2 linked regions of the Notamacropus eugenii genome follow. Each later gene encodes a partner of the first gene's protein in a complex. Links are inferred from orthologs where the notes say so. Each region holds a gene or a part of one and is shown in the gene's direction. Other genes may lie near its edges.

What was found.
Region 2: NHP2 (region 1) and NOP10 share a complex: the UniProt entries of both Homo sapiens proteins name them as parts of the H/ACA small nucleolar ribonucleoprotein (H/ACA snoRNP) complex. The link is inferred for Notamacropus eugenii from reciprocal best matches to the Homo sapiens genes NHP2 and NOP10.

What each region holds. Positions count from the first base shown.
Region 1 is NC_092872.1:414,756,325-414,766,046, reverse strand, and holds NHP2 (H/ACA ribonucleoprotein complex subunit 2), read left to right. Parts: upstream 1-4,832; 5' UTR 4,833-4,865; coding exon 4,866-5,028; intron 5,029-5,188; coding exon 5,189-5,258; intron 5,259-6,695; coding exon 6,696-6,801; intron 6,802-7,056; coding exon 7,057-7,182; 3' UTR 7,183-7,399; downstream 7,400-9,722. Other genes in the region: E3 ubiquitin-protein transferase RMND5B, read right to left, coding at 8,675-8,738, 9,303-9,457, 9,540-9,642. UniProt on the Homo sapiens protein: Required for ribosome biogenesis and telomere maintenance. Part of the H/ACA small nucleolar ribonucleoprotein (H/ACA snoRNP) complex, which catalyzes pseudouridylation of rRNA.
Region 2 is NC_092878.1:17,205,161-17,215,575, forward strand, and holds NOP10 (H/ACA ribonucleoprotein complex subunit 3), read left to right. Parts: upstream 1-6,315; 5' UTR 6,316-6,518; coding exon 6,519-6,572; intron 6,573-7,909; coding exon 7,910-8,050; 3' UTR 8,051-8,599; downstream 8,600-10,415. Other genes in the region: NUTM1 (NUT family member 1), read right to left, coding at 227-355, 2,664-3,358. UniProt on the Homo sapiens protein: Required for ribosome biogenesis and telomere maintenance. Part of the H/ACA small nucleolar ribonucleoprotein (H/ACA snoRNP) complex, which catalyzes pseudouridylation of rRNA.

The sequences.
Region 1 (9,722 bases):
TCTAATCCTCCCCAAACTACTTTGCTCTCATTTTGCATAGCTCCTGGATACACTTATTTATGTACACATCTCCCTTTGCTACATTTCTTTATCTCCAGCACTTGGTACAGGGCCTGGCCTTAGGAGGTACTTAATAAATGCTTGCTGAATGATTGATTAGTGGACACCTAGAAAAGGAAGTGGTAAGAGAGTCAACATGACTTTAGCAAGAGCACATCATGCCAGAGTAACTACACACACACACACACACACACACACACACAACATACACACACACACACCTTTTTTTATCTATTTATTACTTTATATAAGGAGGGGAGAATATCTCATGCTCTCTGATATAAGAGATGGAGAAACATTTGCTAGACAATAATACAGTTACACAACTTCAGAACTGGGTGAATAGTCAGAACCAAAGTAAAATCATTAATGATTCAGTATCTTACTGGATGGAGATCTCTAGTAAAGAGAACAGGGACTTGGTCCCGGGCAATTTAAAATTGCTATCAATGACTTGGATTAAAGGCATAAATGGCAAGCTTACCAAACTTGCAGATGACATAGAACTGGGAGGGATGACTAACACACTGGATAGCAAGATAGAACATTGGGTTGGATTGAATATGATGAAAGTTAGTGAAGAGAAATGTAAAGAATTTGAGTTTAAAAAAAATATTTCACATGTTCAAGAGGTGTATGTAAACATACATACACAATCAGATATTTGTAAGTTCTCTAATTCTGTCTCATGTCTAAGTTTTGTTTGCCATAGTAAGATGATATGAAAGGTACCCTGGTCCAAGTGTCAGGTCCATCTTCTGACCAGGAGAGTCAAGAATCCAGTAACTTGATGAAGTTGGTTATCTAATTCTCAAGAGGCAGCTACAGAAAGAATACTAGATTTGAATCATAAGACCTGGGCCTGAGTGCCTGTTCTACCGATTATTAGCTGAGCCCTTCATTTTCCTAATTTGAAGATATTACCTGCCTCACAATTTTGTTGTGAAGATTAAATGAGAACATATGTGAAGTGTTTTATAAACCATACAATACTGTACACCTCAACAATTATTATCACTGTCATGATTGAAATTTAACAAAAGGGTAAACTGAGGCAATTCTATAAGCAAGATAACATTTGTTAACAGGGGCTTGCTGCCTGTCAATAAATGGGTCGATGGATTGTCTTCATCTATGCCAAAGACCCTGAGCAAAAGGATAGTTCCCCCTTTATAGTTTTTGAGGAATACAGAACAAAAAACAGAACTGGGTAGGTGACAGCATATGGTCAAGAGCAACATGAAAGGTTGGAAGTTTGGTAATTTGAACTAGCAACAACCCCATTCCTTCCCTCTCAAGAGTCTAGATGCAAAGCAGACATCCTTAAAGGATAGCTTGGTGTATAGATATTAGTCAGAACTCTCTACAAGCATTCCCCAAGGTCAGCTAAATTCCTTGTGGCAAGAGCAGATCAGTGATTAACAGGGAGCTGGATTTCTAAATTAACCCATTACAGGCCAGCTAAATTCTGAACTAAGTTCAGAAACAAAGAATCATGATTTAAACAATTACAGGACAAAAACAGTTACAGGTAATTGTAAATAGGATCAATAAATAAGTGATACAGGATCAATCTTAATCTTCTCACCATCTTACCAGCACTTCCAAAAATCTTTTCCCCTCACCCTCATTAAAGTCCATTGTGTCATAATAAGGGACCAAAGGAGGTAATCCTGGGTTCTTCAAAGTTATATGTCAACAGAGCTCAAGCCTCTGGAATGTCATACCAAGTCTGTCTGCAAATCAACAGACAAGCTAACTATAGAAAAGTTCAAAACCAGAGTTTGTTGATCCATTATTAAATGAATGAATTTTTCAGCCATATCAATTCATTAAGATTGTCCAAGGCTGCTGAGGGTTTTGATATGTACTAGCAGAAGTACTCACACCTATGGCAGCTAGGTGGCAGTGGATAAAGCCCCAGGCCTGGATTCAGGAAGACCTGAGTTCAAATTTGACCTTGGACATTTATTAACTGTGTGCCCCAGGACAAGTCATTTAACCCTTTTGCCTCAATTTCCTCAACTGTAAAATGAGCTAGAGAAGGAAATGGCAAACCACTCCAGCAGCTTTGTCAAGAAAACCACAAATGGGATCACAAGGAGTCAGATACAGATGAGATGGGTGAACAACTTATACCCATAAAGCCCCAGATATTTGAATTGTTGAAGTACAAACACTTCCTTATCACCATTTCCCAAATTCTCTAGCAAATCACTTTCTAAACAGTATAAGGACCTTCCCCCCTCTTTCCTCCCACCCACCTCCACAAAAAAACAAAAAAGATATTCTGAAAGCAAAGAATGGTAAATTTCATAGCAAACTCCTGCAAAAGCATCCTGAAGTTCGTCTTTATAAACCAAGTAATTCCTTTGTCTGAAAATTCATTCACATAGCTATATGTGGATCAATTAAAGAGATAAACAAAAGCAGAAAAAATTATACCATGATGAAGTTAACAGCAGGAAACTCAAAAATGTCATTCTTTGCCTAAACCTTCATTTCTTTCCTTTTCCCCTTTTTCCTCTCCTGTGAAATCCCATAACTTTTCTTTTTACTCTAAGTGGTGGAGAAAAAGGAGACTCTAGTTAATAAGGCTTTAAATTAAGACCTCAAGTTTTTATGGATCTTTAACAATCAGCTCATAAGTGTCTGGCTAAAACAAGTCAAGTTGCACTGACCCTCTCACCTTCTACTCAGTTCAACTCAAGTCATTACTGCAGTAGCTATTATGTGGCAAGCACTACCTCATAGACTTCATGGATTGTGACCTCTTCTACAAGAATGCCTTGATGAATATGTGAAATATTTCCCATATACAATAGGTTTACTCCACTTTTACATTCCTGTCATTGTTTCACTAGCCTAAAATATATGGCTAGTAAAGTGTTTTACAATCCTTCTTTAAATATATATTTCTCAACTAGTTAAGTTATTGTTGCCCTTAATTGGGGAAGAAGAATGGGGAGGCTTCACAAGTACATGGATTTCAAGCATTCATTTATATAGAGCTGGAAGTGCTCTAGGTGGTCGGCTAATCCAATTATGCCCCCAGTTCAGAATTCCTCTCTACATTACTTCAACAGGAGGTTCATTCAATCTCATAAGCTTTTAAGTCTAATAAGTAACTAGCAACTCCGAACTTCCAGGAGCAGTTCATTTCATATTGGGATATTATTAATTAGCGTCACAGCCTAAAGCTAACGTGGAAGGGTCCTTCAGAGATCATCTAGTCAAACTGATTTTACAGATGAGTAAACTGAGGCACAAAACCGTTAAATCTCGGTCAAATGATAAACGGCAAATCCGGGAGTGGAGCAATATGACTCACCCAAAGTGGTGAAAAGACGTGTGATGCGCATTTTTATCAGTCTTGACCCGGAGACACAGTCCCTTCCAGGTAAGGAAGAAACAAACAGATGCGTCTTTCTTTGGGACCGGGAAACCACAGAAAGCCAAACGGACCAGGGAAACTTCCTTTCAGGGTTCGGGGGCACAAACCCACACTGAAGCCATGGGGTATAGGTGGCAGAGAACTAGGAGCCCCATATTCTCAGTCAATTCCAGGCAGTCCAGTAAGCCTCCGGGCTCTGGCCGGGAAGGGAGGACGCTCAGGGCTCCCGGCGCACCCGGCAAGTCCAGCCCAGCAGGTCGCAGAGGCGCCACCACTAGACAGGCCACCTCATCCTGCCTCAAGAGCAGAGGGTGCCAGGAGGAAGAGGCCAAGAAGGATGCTCGGGAGGGAAAAATTATCATATCCCAGAAGCAAGGTTAAGGCAGGAATATGCTAGCCACCAGACCCCAGGACGCCTGAGCTCCGCTAACACCTCGGCGCTGAGTCTAACACTCAACTCGATCCAGCCCCCTCGGAGCTCCGCCCCCTACTCCCCCCGCACCCAATCCCACCCCAGACGCTGACTTTTGGCCCCGCCCCCTATTGCCTCAGGACCCTATTCCTCCCCAAACACCTCTGGAAGGCCACGCCCCACTTTGACCCCGCCCCCTATTGCCTCGGAGCCCTATCCGCTTCCCTGGGACCTCCTGCAAGTCTTACCCCTTTCTGGACCCCGCCCTCTACTGCCTCAAGTCCTATCTCTTCTCCAGACCAGAAGGCCCTGCCGGTCCTGAACCCCCATGAAACCGCCCCCTCGGTGGCTCAGGGCCCAATCCACTTCCTGGCACCGCCTCCTCCCCGTCAGTGACCGGGAAAAGGACCCTCAGCGCTTCAGGGCTACTTTCCTAAATAGTTCCAGAGCCCACACCCCTTCATGACCAAGAGCTCCGCCCCTCGCCTTCCCAGGATCCAGAATGCGGCCCTTTCCTCTCCACGGGAGTGGCTTCCTTGCCGTCCCAGACCCAAGTACTGCCCCGCACTAGTCTCCAGCACCTTGTACCGCTCCACAACTCAAGCCTCTTCCCGAGACTCATTCCTCACTTCACTCTGTTCCCTCCTCCCATTTCCCTCCACGCTGGGCTCCGCCTCGAACCTAAGCCTCTGGCTCCTCCTCCATCCCCGGGCCCCGCCTCCCGGCTCCAGGAGCTTTGGAGCCTGCCCTCCTCCCAGCTTGCCTTGGAGCTCCGGCCCGCTGCCACAGCCGCGAGATCCAGACGCCACGACAATTGGTTGAGAAGGGGCGGGAGGCGGGAACTTCCCTGTGCCTCGCTTCAGATTGCCTGGAGACCGTGACGTCGCCGAGTTCGCTCGGGGCGCGGCCGCATAACCCGGAAGTCGTTCTAGCGGTGGCTCGCTCGTGCTTTGGGAGCATCCGAAGCTTGCGACCTCGGGAGCCGGCGGTACCGTGAAGATGACCAAAGTAAAGCGGGAAGTGGAGGAGTCGGAGGCGGCGCCGGAAAGCTCCGGGGCTCCTGAGCGCACCTACGAGGAGATGCTGTCGAACCTGAACCCCATTGCGCAGCCCCTGGCGTCCCGCCGCCTGACTCGGAAACTGTACAAGTGCATCAAGAAAGGTGGGCCGGGGAGGACGGAGAAGCTGCGTTTGTGGCTGTGGGGAAAGAAGGGGGAGCCGAGGAGGAAGCCGAGGGAGAAGGGAGGGAGTCGGGCAGAAAGAATGGGGAAGCCGAGGAGTGAGAGGGGCAGGCTCAGAACTGACTCTTCCGATCCTTCCAGCCGTGAAGCAGAAGCAGATCCGGCGAGGCGTGAAGGAAGTTCAGAAATTCCTTAACAAAGGGGAAAAGGGGTAAGCGCCGACGACCCCCTGCGTCTTAGACGTGATAAAGGCCAACATTTATATAGGATTTTAAGGTTTGCGAAGGGCTTTGCACACGTTGTTTGAACCTCGCTGACAGCCCCCTAAGGTAGGTGCTGTTATTCCCGACAAGGTTAAGTGACCTGCGCAGGGTCTCCCAGCTAACGTCTGAGGCACGCTTTGCGCTCGTGTGTCTCCGACTCCAACCCTAGCTGTCTCAGCGTAGCATTACCATGGAAGTTCCTCCATGCCTGGCGTTTCTCTCAGGCCTTCCTCCAGAAACCAGGCTGGTTTAGTAATAGTGCACTCCACACAGGTGAGCAAATTAAAACTCTCAGCCTTCTTTTTTTCCATTCCGCCATCACATATTCACTGAGTGCCTACTGTGTGAAATACACAGATGAGTAAGCCATGAGAGGCGACCTGGACTAGTCAGGACTGCTGGATCCAGCCAAGGAAATGGCCTCTCGGATCCTACCTGGACACTTAACTGGCTTGTGACTCTGAACGCTACTTCAATGCCCTGAGCATCAACTGCTTCATCTTTAGAATGTGGGGGTTGGCTTCAGAGATCTAAATGTATTATCCTGCCGTCCCCAGTCTAGCAATGAAGAAAGGACATACGTCAGGGACTATTTTTACGAGTCAAATTGTCTCCAAAAAGGCATATTATGTTTTGGTTGTCAGAGGAAGTTGAGTATGTCACCTTACTTTATAAAACTTAATCCCTGATAATTACCAAGCAGATGTTTTACCACAGTGAGCAAAATTGTAACAGTTTATTTGAAAACAACATTGCAGAGAAAAGCTTTGAAAGGCTTTAGAACTCTGGCCAATGCAACGATAAACTGTAAGTCCAGAAGCTTGATAAAATACACTACTCGATTCCTGCAAGAGAGCTAAAAATGCAGACAGACACTCATTTTGGTGCATAGCTAAGGTGGGAATTGTTTTGCTGGACTGTGGGTACCTGTGACAAGGGTTTTTTTATTGTTCAGTGGGAGGGAGATTGTGGGAGAGACAAATTATTTTTTTAAAAAAAGGTGTATTGGGGGTGGATCAATAACATTGCCTACTAGTGAGTTGGGATCTGCAGTAGAGAAAGTAACCCCATACATTCAGGTTTCAACACCAAGATAAAGTCATGGAGAGTCCTTTAGCATTTAGCCCAATCCCTGAATTTCAGAACAAAAAAACTGAGAGCCGGAAAGGAAGAGTAACTTGTTCAAGGTCTGAAAAGTTAGGGCTGGAGCTGGAACCATTCTTTCCATTGCACTTTTCACAAGCATAATACCCAAGAATTATGCATGTCCTTAACCCCCTTCTGTCCCTGCCCTTAAAAAAAAACCTCTTGACTAGAGATATTCCAAGTTAAGAATTTTTCATTCTAACAGAAGATGAAAACACAAATGACTCATTTCATTACAGGATTATGGTTTTGGCTGGGGATACATTACCCATCGAGGTATACTGCCATCTCCCCATTATGTGTGAGGATCTGAGTATGCCTTATGCCTATGTTCCCTCGAAAACGGTAAGAACTTTTTGTAGTTGCTGTCTGCAATGTTGCCTGTTTTAGCAGTATAAAAGCATGTGAAAATAAGATATTTTAGAGACAGGAATAACGTTAATTTAGGTCTCCTGACTTAGTCCTGATAAGTGTTTATTCCTGAACCTCTGAAGAGGTATTTCCGAGTTGTCAATGATGATTATTTGAAGTTACTTAGCAAGTAATAATCTTTTAAAAGAAATTTTAAGAAAAACTAGCCCTTTTATTTCCATCTTATAGGATCTGGGAGCAGCTGCTGGCTCTAAGCGCCCAACTTGCGTGATCATGATTAAACCACATGAGGACTACCAGGCTACATATGATGACTGCCTGGAGGAAGTAGAATCTCTTCCGGTCCCCTTGTAAAGAAAAGTAGTGTGAAGTTCATGATTATTTGGTAGACCCTTCTTGACTGAAAAAGACTGCTTCATTGTGCCTGGCCCTCCATCATCTCCCTGCCGGCATTCCCAGAGGTTTTTTTTTTTTTATGATAGCTCAAACAGTAATTTCACTTTGGCCAGTAACATTGTGGTTGTCAAGGCTGTTTGCTACTAAGCAGTAAAATAAAGTTTTGAAAAAATAATTTCTAGTAGTTTGTGTGGGAGGTAGGAGGGTTCTGGTTTCATTTTTTTTTTTTTTCCAAGTATGGAACACTGGAACCAATGAAAAATGCTGACATACCATTCTGAAAGACTAATGGAATCCTTGCCTCCACCATCACCACCCCTAAAATGAGCAAGCCCCAGGGAAAGGCCTCTGCCTCCAGTTCCTACTCATTAGAGAGAGCTCAGACTCCAGAGTCTTACTAGAACCTAGCAAATAGGGGTAGTACATCAAGACACCCTACAAAGCTTGAAATAGGTCTTCAAAAACAAGTCATAGTAAATGTACCAATAGTTGGCAGCATCATAGCACTTTGCTGCATCCCAATTTTGTTTAAAATTGGGTCACCTAATACCTTCACATGGAGCTAATTTGAAGTGCCTTCCAAGGAAGAAAAGGTTTATCAGAAGAGGTTGCTTGCATCCCTTCTGCCCCCAAAAGCTGAGCTCTTCTGGCTAAAACAGATTTTCTTTTCCTTTGGCCTTATTGATACATTTGCTTTTTTTTCAATCAGCTGTGAGGCAGCCAGTGGCCCAGCAGGTAGTCTTCTTACCCATGCAATCCCCAATCTTTGGTATTAAGTGAAATGCAAAGAGAGAGTAATTACAGAGAAGGCAAGTGATTTATTTGTTCAGTTATAAAACAGCTGCATCCAAGTCTGCCTAGGCTATTTACATTGTAAAACTGGTAAATACAATTGAAACACTGTACAGTAGTAAGTGACTGGCACCACACTTGGGCAGACCTAAGATTGTAGAGCTAGATCTAGATACACAAACTGCAGTGCAAGATAACAAGGGGAAGGAGGTGGAGCAATATATCTTGATGTTATATGTTTGTGGCTACCTTAAACAGACATTAAGCAAAACAACTGGCACAGGGGTGCATATAAGATAAGTGGGCTTAGGGAGAACAGAACAAGGAAAGGCATCAGGTGCTGGAGCAGGGATAACAGTGTCTGTACCCAACCTGCAGCCGTCCACCAGAACTCAGTTCTCTGCTTAACAGACAACAGCCAAAGTGAAGAAACACCCCCAAACCACACATCTTCCTTAGTCACAGATGTTTTGGGTCTAACAAAAGGACCTTGCCCCCCCAACTCCTCCTATGTGGTGCTGTTCTCAGTCAGCTTTTCAAAACACCATGGACAGGGCTATCACAGCATGTCTGTCTCTGGGTCTCATCTGCCCTACGGAAGACCAGCCAAGGCATATTGGGAACATCCCCTTTACCAAAAGAGCTGACTTCCTTGTTATCAGAATATGATACGTTTGCCATCAGCTGGGTTCTGCTCCATAGGGCAGTAAGGGCATTTCAGTCTGAGGAAAGAGAAAACAGCAAAGGTTCAGAGACCAGAAACAGAACATCTGTCAATATTGCAGTTGATCCTCCCATCTCCAATCCAGCCTCCACAAGCTTCCCTAACACAAGGTTCTGATACTACTCCTTTACTCAAAAACAGGCAAGGGAGAGCCTACAAAATAAAAATATAATACACTCAAGTCCCTCCATAATCTGGTTCCAACCTGCTTTTCTAGCTTTATTTCATACTATTTTACCTTCACAAATTTTGTGAGGCTGACATATTCCTTCTATCCCCAATTCTTGTCTACTGAAGCCCAGGTGCAAGGAATCTCTATCTCCTTCAATTTTTCATAACATCTTGCCTGGACCTCTCACTCTCTTTTGTATCATGGTGGTTGGTATACTTGTGCTTCCCATATTATAAAAGTGTTTTAAGAGGGGGGCCTATGTCACATTTAATCCTCAATGCCTGCCACAGGGCCTTGCATACAGTAGACAATCAGTTTTGAAGTGAATTTATGCTGCACTAGCTATCTAACACAAGTTCATGTTCTCAGAGGAGATAAAATAAAACTTACTTTCCTCCATTAATGAGCTTGTTGAGAGCATCCCTAGAGATGACATGACCACAGATGAGTTTGATAGGCGGGTTGGAATCTGAAGTTTGCTGGCGAAGGATGGGGCAGGCAAACACAGAGTGGTACCAGCACTTCATGCCCAGTTCAATCTCAATCTATGGAGAAAAGGCATCGCTGAGCTCCATCCCTGCTCCGCTCCCTGTAGCTGCCACCCTATCATGTCCAGCCAGGACTTACAGGCAGCTCGTCCTTATGACTCCAGACTCCCGTGCACTGTCTCTGCTCAATCACTGCTTTGATGTTCATTAACACGGGCAGTGCCACACACCCAGAGGCAAAGCTGCAGAAAGGAAAAAGCTTAGTGCTCTGAGTCACAAGACCTAGGTTTGAATTTGAGCTTTGCCACCTACTGGCTGGGTG
Region 2 (10,415 bases), on another chromosome or scaffold:
AGAAGGCATTAGGCTGAGAACGTGCTGCAAGATAAGAGGGGTGGGACACCAAGCACCCATGAGACTTCCTGTCATTCCCACATCTGTTCTGCCCTATCACATACCCTGAGGATACCAATCTGCCATGAGATTCCCTGGACTCATGCCCACCCCACCCATAGTCATCCCATCAAATGATCCCTACCATAAATCCCTCCTCAGTCAAGAGAACAAAGGTCAAACTCACTTTTCTGCCATCTCGTAGAAGATCATTCGGTCAAAGTTGCTACTTCGCTCCCACTCCTGCACCGCCCGTGGCAGTCCATCCTCCAGGGTCATAGCTGGCTTTAGCCGGGCCAAGGAACGAAGCACTGGGCTAAAAACACCCCTATTCTTGTCACATCCTACTTAGGCTTCTCCCCATCATGACCCTTTTACACATACACCTATCCTGGCACCTACTCACTTCACACTCACTCCTTTCATCCACCGTCTACCTTCCCATCCCCATCAGATCTCACTCATCTCTCTGTCTCTATCACAGCCCACATCCAATCAGACATGGTAATTCCTTCCCCATCCATCCCTTGCTCTATCAGAAATTGGGCAAATCTTTCAGAATGTGTGTACATTCAGTACACAGTAAGAATTGTTTCATTCTCTGTGTTCGTATCCCCAACACACAGCAGGCATTAAAAGCTTTTTGATTAATTAATTTATCACACAGAACCTGTGATGGAACAGCTGCTAGATTTGAGGAGCTGTGGCATAAAAGACAGAGAGACGATGAGGCAAAGAGACAAAAAGAGACAGAGAGAGACCACTCAAATTCTACTCTAGTACTACATAGGTTCTCTAAAGCTGTCCCCAAACTCTCCAAGCTGGAAGAGCTTAAGTACAGATCCCGTTAACCGAGGGTTGGCCTAGCTAAATTTGGAGAGGCTCATTGCCAGACTTCCCACCAGATGATGATGTTTGGGGGACTCACAGGAACTCATAAAGCTGTCCACAGAGGTATAGTGGGTTTGCAGTCTGTTGGTGAAGGAAGCAACCACATGTTTGTGGCTGACATGCCTTCAGACCTAATTAACATCTTTGTATCGATCATTACAAAAGCTTTTCAGGAGTAGCTAAGCCCAGACGCCTGAAAGCTTGAACAGGCAACATACAGCACATGGGACACCTTTCACAGGTCAGGAATAGTGACTGCAGAGCTTATCAGTGTTGCTCTGCTTCCCTTTTTGTGCCTTCCTCCCAGTTTCCTGAACTTCCCTTTTTCTCACTGCACTCCCAACCTCAAGGACTTACTACCCTCATGCTGTTTTCTAGTGGCCCAAGGCACCCTAGTATAACACCCTACTTACTATAAGCCAGCCCGCCTCCTAAATAGCATCCTACACTCAAAAATGACCTCTCCCATCCCGACACCTTCCCCATTCAAAACTCCCATTTCCTTAATGTGATGATCTTAGGGATGTTGGGAGTGATGAGGATGAGGATGAGGATGATGACACTTTACAAATATTACTTCATTGACTTCACAATGTCTGGGAAATAGATGCTATTATTATCCCCATTTTACAGATGAGGAAACTGAGACAGGCAGAGGTTAAGTGACTTGACCAGGGTCACAGGGCTAGTAATTGCTCTGAGGAAGGAACTGAACTCAGGACTTCCTGATTCCAGGTCTAGCACACTATCCGTCGCTACGCTTGAATAACCTAATTATATAATTAAGATAACTCATAATAAGGCATGACTCACTGATAAGCCTAATTCTGACAAGAGCATTTGAATCTTAAGCAAAAGCTTGTTAACACAAATGAAGCATAAATTAAGGAATATGTATCAAGCACATTTTTTTGGAAGGGACAGGAACCTTCTAGATGCTTCTGGTCTGTTCAACCCACTTTTTTGTCAGCAAAATGAAGAAGACTCAGCAGCCCAAGTCTGTTGGTACTCCTACATCTATGCCTTTGCAGAGGGCATTTCTCATGCCTGGAACGCATACCCTCCTTAACTTTCTCTCTTAAAATCCTTAGCTCCCTTTCCAAATGAAGTCTTTCCTGATTTCTTCTAGCTGCTAGTACCCACCAACATTACTTTCGATAAATTTTGCAGCTGGATAGAGAAATAGTTATTGCTCTGGCCTGGAATCAGGAAGACCTGAATTCAAATCCTGCCTCAGATATGTGACCCTGGACAAGTCACTTAGCCTCTATTTGCCTCAGTTTTTTCAAGTGGGAAATAGGGATGATAACAGCACCTACCTCACAGGCTTGTTGTGAGGATAAAATATATATATAGATGTATATCTATATATCTCCTAGAATGTATGCCACCCTCTTGCGACCTTTTTTCCCTTTCAAGGCTGCCCTTGATGGTTATTTAAACTTGATCACACAGTATAAATAGAAGCTAAAGGCACAAAGTGTTTTTTGTTTACAGACCCTCATCCCCTTAGGAATATCCCTGTCCTGCTGACCCATTTTAACTGCTCTGCCTACAAATGAATGTGAAGGAACTATCTTTTTTCTGGGAAGTTGCACTGTGGCCCCTGACCTACCATCGGATATTTCCAAACAACTTTAGTCTATAATCCATCAGGCTTCTCCTGACTCTTCCTTCCAAGAATAAAAAGTCTGAAGGAGTCTACAAGCGTAACTCCAAAAGCAAGCACTCACATGAGGAAGCAGGAAAGCGCTTCTGCATCAGGGCTCCGGGGCAGGTGTCTCCGGGCCAGTGCCTTGTAGCGTTGCCAGCGACGAAAGTTCTCATAAACACCCTTGGAGGTGCAGGAAAGGTCACCCAGAGAGGGTTTGGGACAAGGTGGAGGTGGACCTCCCTCCCCAGGAGTCCCATCTGGCCCCCGCCAAGCCTTTTCTGGGGGTATAATTGGAGCTAGTTGGGCGGTGGGTGGTGGGGCCAGGGGAGGATGGGTAGGGGGTCCCTCTCCTTCACCAGCCTGGGCCACCCCAACAGCCTTAGCAAGAAGAATGGTCTTGACATTGGTGGCTGCCAGGAACCGGGGAGTGGGGCCTTCAGGGCCCCCACGGGGAGGACCTGGGGCAATCCAATTGAGGGCAGTCTGAGTGAGGATAAAGGTCTGAGTTCGGGGGGCTTCAGATGGGCCCCCCTCTGTCTTGACTTTGACGATGACCTTACCAGCCCCACCCCCGCTAGGGCCTGCTCCCCCATCCCCTGTCACCAGCAATGTACTAGGGAAAGCAGACAGAACCAGGGGGCTACCCGGTGGGAATGGTGAAGAAATGGGAGTTTGAGGTGGTGGCTCCCAGAGAGGCTTGTCTGATGGTCCTGGAGGGGGTGGGGGTAATGGAAGTGAAGTACAGGGTGGGACAGGGCCAGGCTTCGGGGTCATTTCAGGTCCAGACAATGAAGGAGCTGTTGAGAAAAAGGAGGGATTGGAGCAGGAAATGAGGCAGCTAGAGGCCTCAACATCTGGGGACCCTTTGGACCCTGATACATTGCAGAGCTGGTCCCCTAATTCATAGGGTAAACATCTTTACCAGTCCAATAAAAAAAAATGTCTACAATATCACTGACAACTTCTTTAAGGATATTCTTAGAAGTCTACCTCCACTGTGTGGTGTCCCAAGACATAGAACAGGGTTGACATGCAGGAGATAACAACTCAAAGTATGTCCCCAACTAGGAGGTTGAGCATCTGATGGGAGAATCTAGAATCTGGCCCTTCCCTAGGCTCCTTTGGTGTTCCTAAATTAGAGATCAATTGAGAGAGGTTCCTGGCCCTGTTTCTTCATTCCTCCCCTTTTTCATCTCCTTGCTCCTTTTTTTAAGTCCCCTATTCCTCTTCTCATCTAAAAGTACAATAAAAAAAGTTCTATAGCCATAACCAATTTATCCCTAAAACTCTCATTCCAATTAACAACTCATTCATTTCTGCTTATAGAAGTAAAATCAGAGACATTCCCCCTACTCCCAGCCATCTCTAGCCACTTAATAATCTTCCTTCTAGAATCTTCTTAAGGTAAGGAGGGGAAGCCCATACAGATTCCTAGAGATTCTCCACTCCAGAGGAGTAAAAACTAGTCAAAAGGAGGTAGTAGTAGACTAGGTGGATAAAAATGACAGGTTTTCTTACGCTTCAGAGAGCTAGCAGATAGACCCCGTGAAGTGTGGCAGTTGCTCCTAACACTGATTCTGATTCTCTCTATCGTTTACCTAGGTTATTCCTTCAGTAATGGAAAGGACAAGGGCTTTCAAATTAACAAGTAATTATTGAGCACTTCCGAGGCACAAGGCACTGGGAATACAAGAAAATATAACACCACATATAATACATAAGATGCCTTCTAAGGAGATGCCTCCATTTAATAATAACAAGAATTTAACAATCCACCTTATCCCACAAACGACGTGAAACTCACACACAGTTTACCTCCCTGACCATAAAATAAGATCATGGAGTCATGGATGATGGTAGACAAGCTCATCACTCTGATGACAAGCAGGGAAGGGTCAGGACATGCTAGCCATAACAGAAAGAGGGAGGGAACAAGATGAAATGGGTTAGAGGGCCTAGGATCCTAGGATAGATGAAACAACTCAGAGTAAATCAGTACTGCCTATGTTCCAGCTGTGGTTGAATAACTATGTATTAACCACCTCCCCAATACTCCCCAACCTTCAGCCCCTGATAAATGCAAGAAACAAGTTCCAGAAGTTCCCTGGGCAAACAAAAACAGAGGTTTCTAGGTGTCAAGGAAACTGAGGTATTCAACCCTAGGGCAGTTATTGTATTCTATATTAATCTATGGGGAAAGGGGGGAGGGGGTATTGTTTTGAGGTTCTCCCCAAGCCTCCTAGTCTCTTGGTAGGTTCAGGGCATGCCTCTGCAAAAGAGGACCACTCTGGCCAAATTTCTGTCAAAAGTCTTTTCCATCCAATTCCCTCTGTCCTCTCTGATTGAATATATCCCTGCTGAAATATCAATTTCTAAAGCAAAAACTTGGGAAAACAGGGTCTCTGCCAGAAAGAAGGACGTAAGTGTTAGACCTAATTCTACTAAGTCCTTTTGTCCTTCTTTAAGGTGGCTAATGCCTAGTGACTGGAGGCTTCTTGCCTATTTAAGTCAATCTGCTAGTGGGTCTTCTCTCTCAACTCAGAGCTCCCTGGCTCAGTTCCTCCAAGGCATCCCAAATCAGCTCTGAAGAGGCTGGCTCTGTGAACCCCAAGGCTCCAAACTGGTTCCCCAACCTCCCCGGGTCTGTTGCCTGAGCATGGGATGGATTCATTGGTCTGTCTTCCTCTTGGGTCCCACAGTGCAGGTCACAAAGGTGATCCCCAGGGCTACAGTCCCAAATTTCTTTCCCTGGGGCTCGAGGGGATAGGGGGCACGGATCTTTGTGAGAGGCCCCCAGCTCCGCTCACCTCCATCTGGGACTGGACCCTCTGGCTTGGGCACTAATCGGGGCTGCCTAGCAGCCTCCAGGATGGCACAAGGGTCAGGGCCAGGGCCCAGAAGGCCACCTGGTCACAGTAGCTGCCCAAGAATTGAGGGCAGCAGAAGGGAAAAGATTGAATCAAAACAGAACTGGAACCTGGAAACCCGTGCATTCTACGCAGTGGGGGAAGGGAGGGAAGAGTGAGGGCCAGGCCAGGGGGCCGAGGAATGTTCTAGGGAAGAGGGGGAGGAGAGCTCGGCGGGGAGGATCTGAATTCAGAACCCAACTCAGGCGACGACCCTGAATGGGCAAGCCACTCAACGTGGCCGGCCCCAGTTCCACGTCTGGGCCACGAGGCTGGGCGGGTCCTCGCCAGCTCTCCACGTGCGTGGTGGGGGCGGAGGGGCACCTTCCAGCCTCGTCCCCCCCGCGGCTCCCAGGTGAGTGGGCGGTGCAGGTCCCCATCTCCCACCTCCGAGCGCAGCGCCCCTCCCCGTGCACCTGGCCGGGCCGCCTCTGCACCCCCGGAGGGTGCGGCGCAGGCCTGGGCGCCCCGGCCCTCGTGCCTCTACTTACCCCCTGGGCGAAGGGGAGCCAGGGCCTGAGCTGGCCTGCGCCTCCATGTTCTCAGCCGCACAAGATGGAGGGCAGGGCCTGGCCGCGGCCTGGGCACCCTCGGCGCCTGGATTTCCTCGCCCCTCTAAGGCTCTGGGCGCTACTTTTCTTCCATGGGACTACTTATTGCAGTTTGCATGCAGGGGAGGGATATTCAAGTTCTGGGTTCAAAAACAGCGGCCTCTCCATCCCTGAATGGGCTGTGGCTAATGGCCTCCCCTGGCATTCGAAGCCCACTCCCTTCCCAACTTCCAGCATAGGGATGCGCTCCCTAGTGCAATCCCAGGGCGAGGACTCCCCCTTCAGGAGGGCAGGAGGAGAAGAGGAGGGGACTACACCTCCCAGCATGCCGCGGGGGCTCTACTTCCCGGAAGTGTCCCTGGAACAAACACGTGGTCGGGGGGTGGGTCCGCGCTCCCGGGCCAAGGCGGAGGTGGAAGCCTGCTTGTGGCCGAGTCTTCCCGTGGCCTGCCCGCCTCGCGAAGGGAATTGGCCGCCATGTTTCTGCAGTATTACCTCAACGAGCAAGGGGATCGGGTCTACACCCTAAAGGTACGGAGAGGAGGCGCACTTGGGGGGTGGAGACGCAGGAGGGAGCTCCGTTCCCGCCCTGCGCGGCCGAGCTGGGCAGCGGCCTGTGTAGACGCTCTTACCGGCGGCTCCGTCGGGCCTCGTTATTGTTTTAACGAAGAAGGAGCCGAGGCCGAGGGAGGGGAGCGGCCGGCCCGGGTCACTGCCTTGTACCGAGAGGGTCGTGTAGGGAGAAGAGGAGGAGGACGGAGGCCGAGGCGGGCAGCCTTCGTTGTGCCCGGACCCTGTGCTTGGCGCCGGCATAGAGTGTAAAAAGAAGAGCCCCCCCCCTCCAGCGGGGACCCCCCGTGGTGATTCCGGGGGGCGCTGCCGGGGGACTCGGGGCTGTTGGGTGGGGTTTGCGCTTGGAAGGAGCTCGCTCCCCACGCCCAGCCCTAAATCCCGCGGAATTCAGCGTGTATCCCAGACCTTGTCGTCTGAGTATCTCACCTCACAGTCAGCAGACTTCATGAAGACCTACTATGCACAAGGCTGTGGGAAACAGAAGGAAGGAAAAGGTTGTCCCTGCATACCCTCGGCACCCACAGCCTAGGGACCTAATCGTCCTTAGCCCAGGTCTGGTCTGTTGGTCAGGGTAATGCTGGGGCTGGGGCGAGGGGATGGATGAGGAGAAATAAACAGCTTCGTCCTCCCTGCCTGTCCGAGTCTTTTCGACCTTTTCTCTGGTTCTGCTCCAAAATAATCAGTAAACCTACTGTGCTAAACACTGGGGATAGAGTAAGCTGTACCCTCAAAGAGCTTACGATGTGGTGAGGGAGACAACGTAGACAAATATATGTGTGTGTGTGTATATTTATAATGTGTGTATATATATATATATGGCAAGCTATGTACAGGATAAATAGGAGATAACAAGGAGGAAGGCACTGCAAGTAAGAGGGGCTGAGGAAGATTTTCTGTAGAAAGTAGAATTTCAGTTGGGACTTCAGTAGGTAGTGTTCCACCCATGGGGCATACCAGAGAAAATTCCTGGAGCCAAGAGATAAGAGTGCCAAGTTTGTCAAATAGCCTGGAGGTCAGTATCACTGGATCAAAGAATATGTGGTGGGGGGAGTAAGGTATAAGAAGACTGGAATGATAGGTAGTGGCTAGGTTATAAAGAGTTTTGAATGCCAAAAATGCGTTTTGTATTTGATACTGGAGGCAATAGGGCTACACTGAAGTTTGAGTAGGTGGGTGATGTGATCAAACCTGTACTTTAGGAAAATCACTTCATAGCTGTAATAGGGGCCTGTACTAGACTGGTGGCAGTGTTGGATGTGAGAATTCACATTCGGTTCTCTTTGTTCTCCTAACAGAAAACAGACCCTGCAGGACAACAGACCTGTTCAGCGCACCCAGCCAGATTCTCCCCAGATGACAAGTACTCCAGACACCGTATCACCATCAAGAAGAGATTCAAGGTTCTCATGACCCAGCAAGCACGATTGGTCCTCTGAATTACCAAACCACCCAGGACTCTGGCACAAGAAGCTTGTCCTACATCTAGGAGACCTCATTCAGGAAGAGCTTACATCTTTGACTCTCTTAACCCATTGTCACAAGTTTAAAATGACGCCCTTTGTACACTTGCTTCTTAGAATCTAGCTGCAGTTTGCCTGTGTTCCTCTCTGTACTTGGTAGCAATCAAGCTAAAATGAAAGTCTAAAGTTGCCATATCTTTTTAATCAATGTTGTAGGCTATTAAAACTGAAATGGTTTAGAGATCTATTTTTCCTTTTTAATTGGGGGCAGAAAAGTCTTTGAATTGATCAGAGGAAGCCAGGTGGCTTAGTGGATAGAGTACTAGGTCTGGAGTCAGGATGATCTGAATATATTTGTAAAAAGGTATTTAACACAGCACCTGGCATGAAGTAGCTATAGAAATGCTTATTCCCTTTTCTGATCAAAAAATAATATCCATTTTTATTATTGTTTTAGAATACTAGCATGTTTGCATTGGAATTCAAAAGTCCTCATTTTCTTCAGTAAAAATTAATCAAATTGGACTAGATGGTCTAGTTTCTTTTATCTCTAAATTCTTAAGTCCTGTGGATAGTCTTGAATTCCTTCCCCTCTATAGTGACACTGATATTCAACATAGCACACACAGCAGTGCCCATGAGAGATGTCTTCTGAATGGACTGAGTGACCAAAGAGGTTATCTTTGTCCTAAGGAAAACCTTTTGTACACCTTAAGGCACCAGGCATGTGTGGGCTATTATTCTCTGGAGTCTCACAGTTTCTCCTAATTTCTGAACAGATTAATTTTAACCAAAGAATCCTCTGAAGCTCAGATCAATTTAAGAGAATAGCCACACATTGTGACAAATGTTTTCAGGTTGAGGGTTGAACAAGTAGAAAGATTAAAAAATTAAGTTTTAATATTCTGATCAATCCATGTCTGACGGTAAACAACAAAGATTTACCTTAGGGCTTTGTGGTAGAACCCCAAAATTCTTGACTTTATTTCCCTCTCTCCCTTTGCATGTAGGGAAACCCACAAGTGCAAATGTCTTTTGGGAGGTGTTAACCTAAAGAAAACTTAAGCACAGGGAGTACAAGGAAACCTCCAGGAGCAGTAGAGTCATACTTTGAAAAACCTAATTCTTTGTCTGTTTTTCTGATGGGGTATGGTCTAAAGTCTTTTTTATTAAACCAGGAGATCTTCCTCTCACTGTTTGTAGACCTCAAGACAACCCACTGTCACAGTCAAAGCATTAGATGGTTCTTTTGAGGAAGACGATGAGGTTAACAAGTTGACCTAGTCTTGCAGACTGTGTCTTCGCATTTACGTCTTATAGACAAAAGGATAACCTTGTTGCTTTTCTGCACTTAGTGAAGAATATTTGAGTCACTCCCCAACAGAAAATATGAAGACACAAGTTTTTTGACTATCCTTATTTATCCAAATTCTTGAATTGAATGGTTTTGCCTCCTGCCAACCCTTTGTTAATCTCCCAGTTCCTCAAAAAGTACCCAACCTTGAAAGTGTATGTAGGTGAGAGTGATGACTAATACTTACTGAACAATAGGAGGTTACTAGGTAGCTCAGTGGATAGAGTCCTGTGCCTAGAATCAGGAAGATTTGAATTCAAATACAGCTTCAGACACTTCCTAGCTGTGTAACCCCTGGGCAAGTCACTTAATCTGTCTTAATCCGCTAGATAAAGACATGTCAAACCACTCCAGTATCTTTGCCAAGAAAACTCCATGGGTAGTATAGGAATGCTATATGGGGTCACAAGGGGTTGAATGTGACTGAAACACTGAACAACAACTAAAACATGATTGATGTTTGAATTAGATCTCTGAAGTGAGAACTAGGAAGGGAAGAAATAATTCAGGTAAGAGTGCTGATGAGATAGATTCCTATAGGGAGCAATGGGCGGCTAATAAGTGAAGAAACAAGTGTTGATAGTACTAGTGGGCATGAGGGAGGAGGTACTTAGAACTCATTGGTAACCTTCAAATATTAAGATGATGGATATGCCAGCACAATAAAATTAGGCTGAATGTACTGAGGTGATGTTTATCAGGTCTCCAATGGTATCTGGTCACATACCATCTGAAAGACCCAAACTGCTCAGGAAATCAGTAAGCACATATTAGGCTCCTTGTATATGCTAGGCACTGTGCTAAGCATTAGGGATAAAAAGGAGGAGGGGGTAAAGGCAATATGATGGGAAGCATGCTCAAAAGCCAGTATAACCTGACTGACACTGGCTATGTGATCTGGAGCAAGTTACTTAATGTGTCTCAACCCTAGTTTACTCAATTGTAGGATGAAAAAGTTGGACTCCATGATCTCTAAAGTCCCTTCCA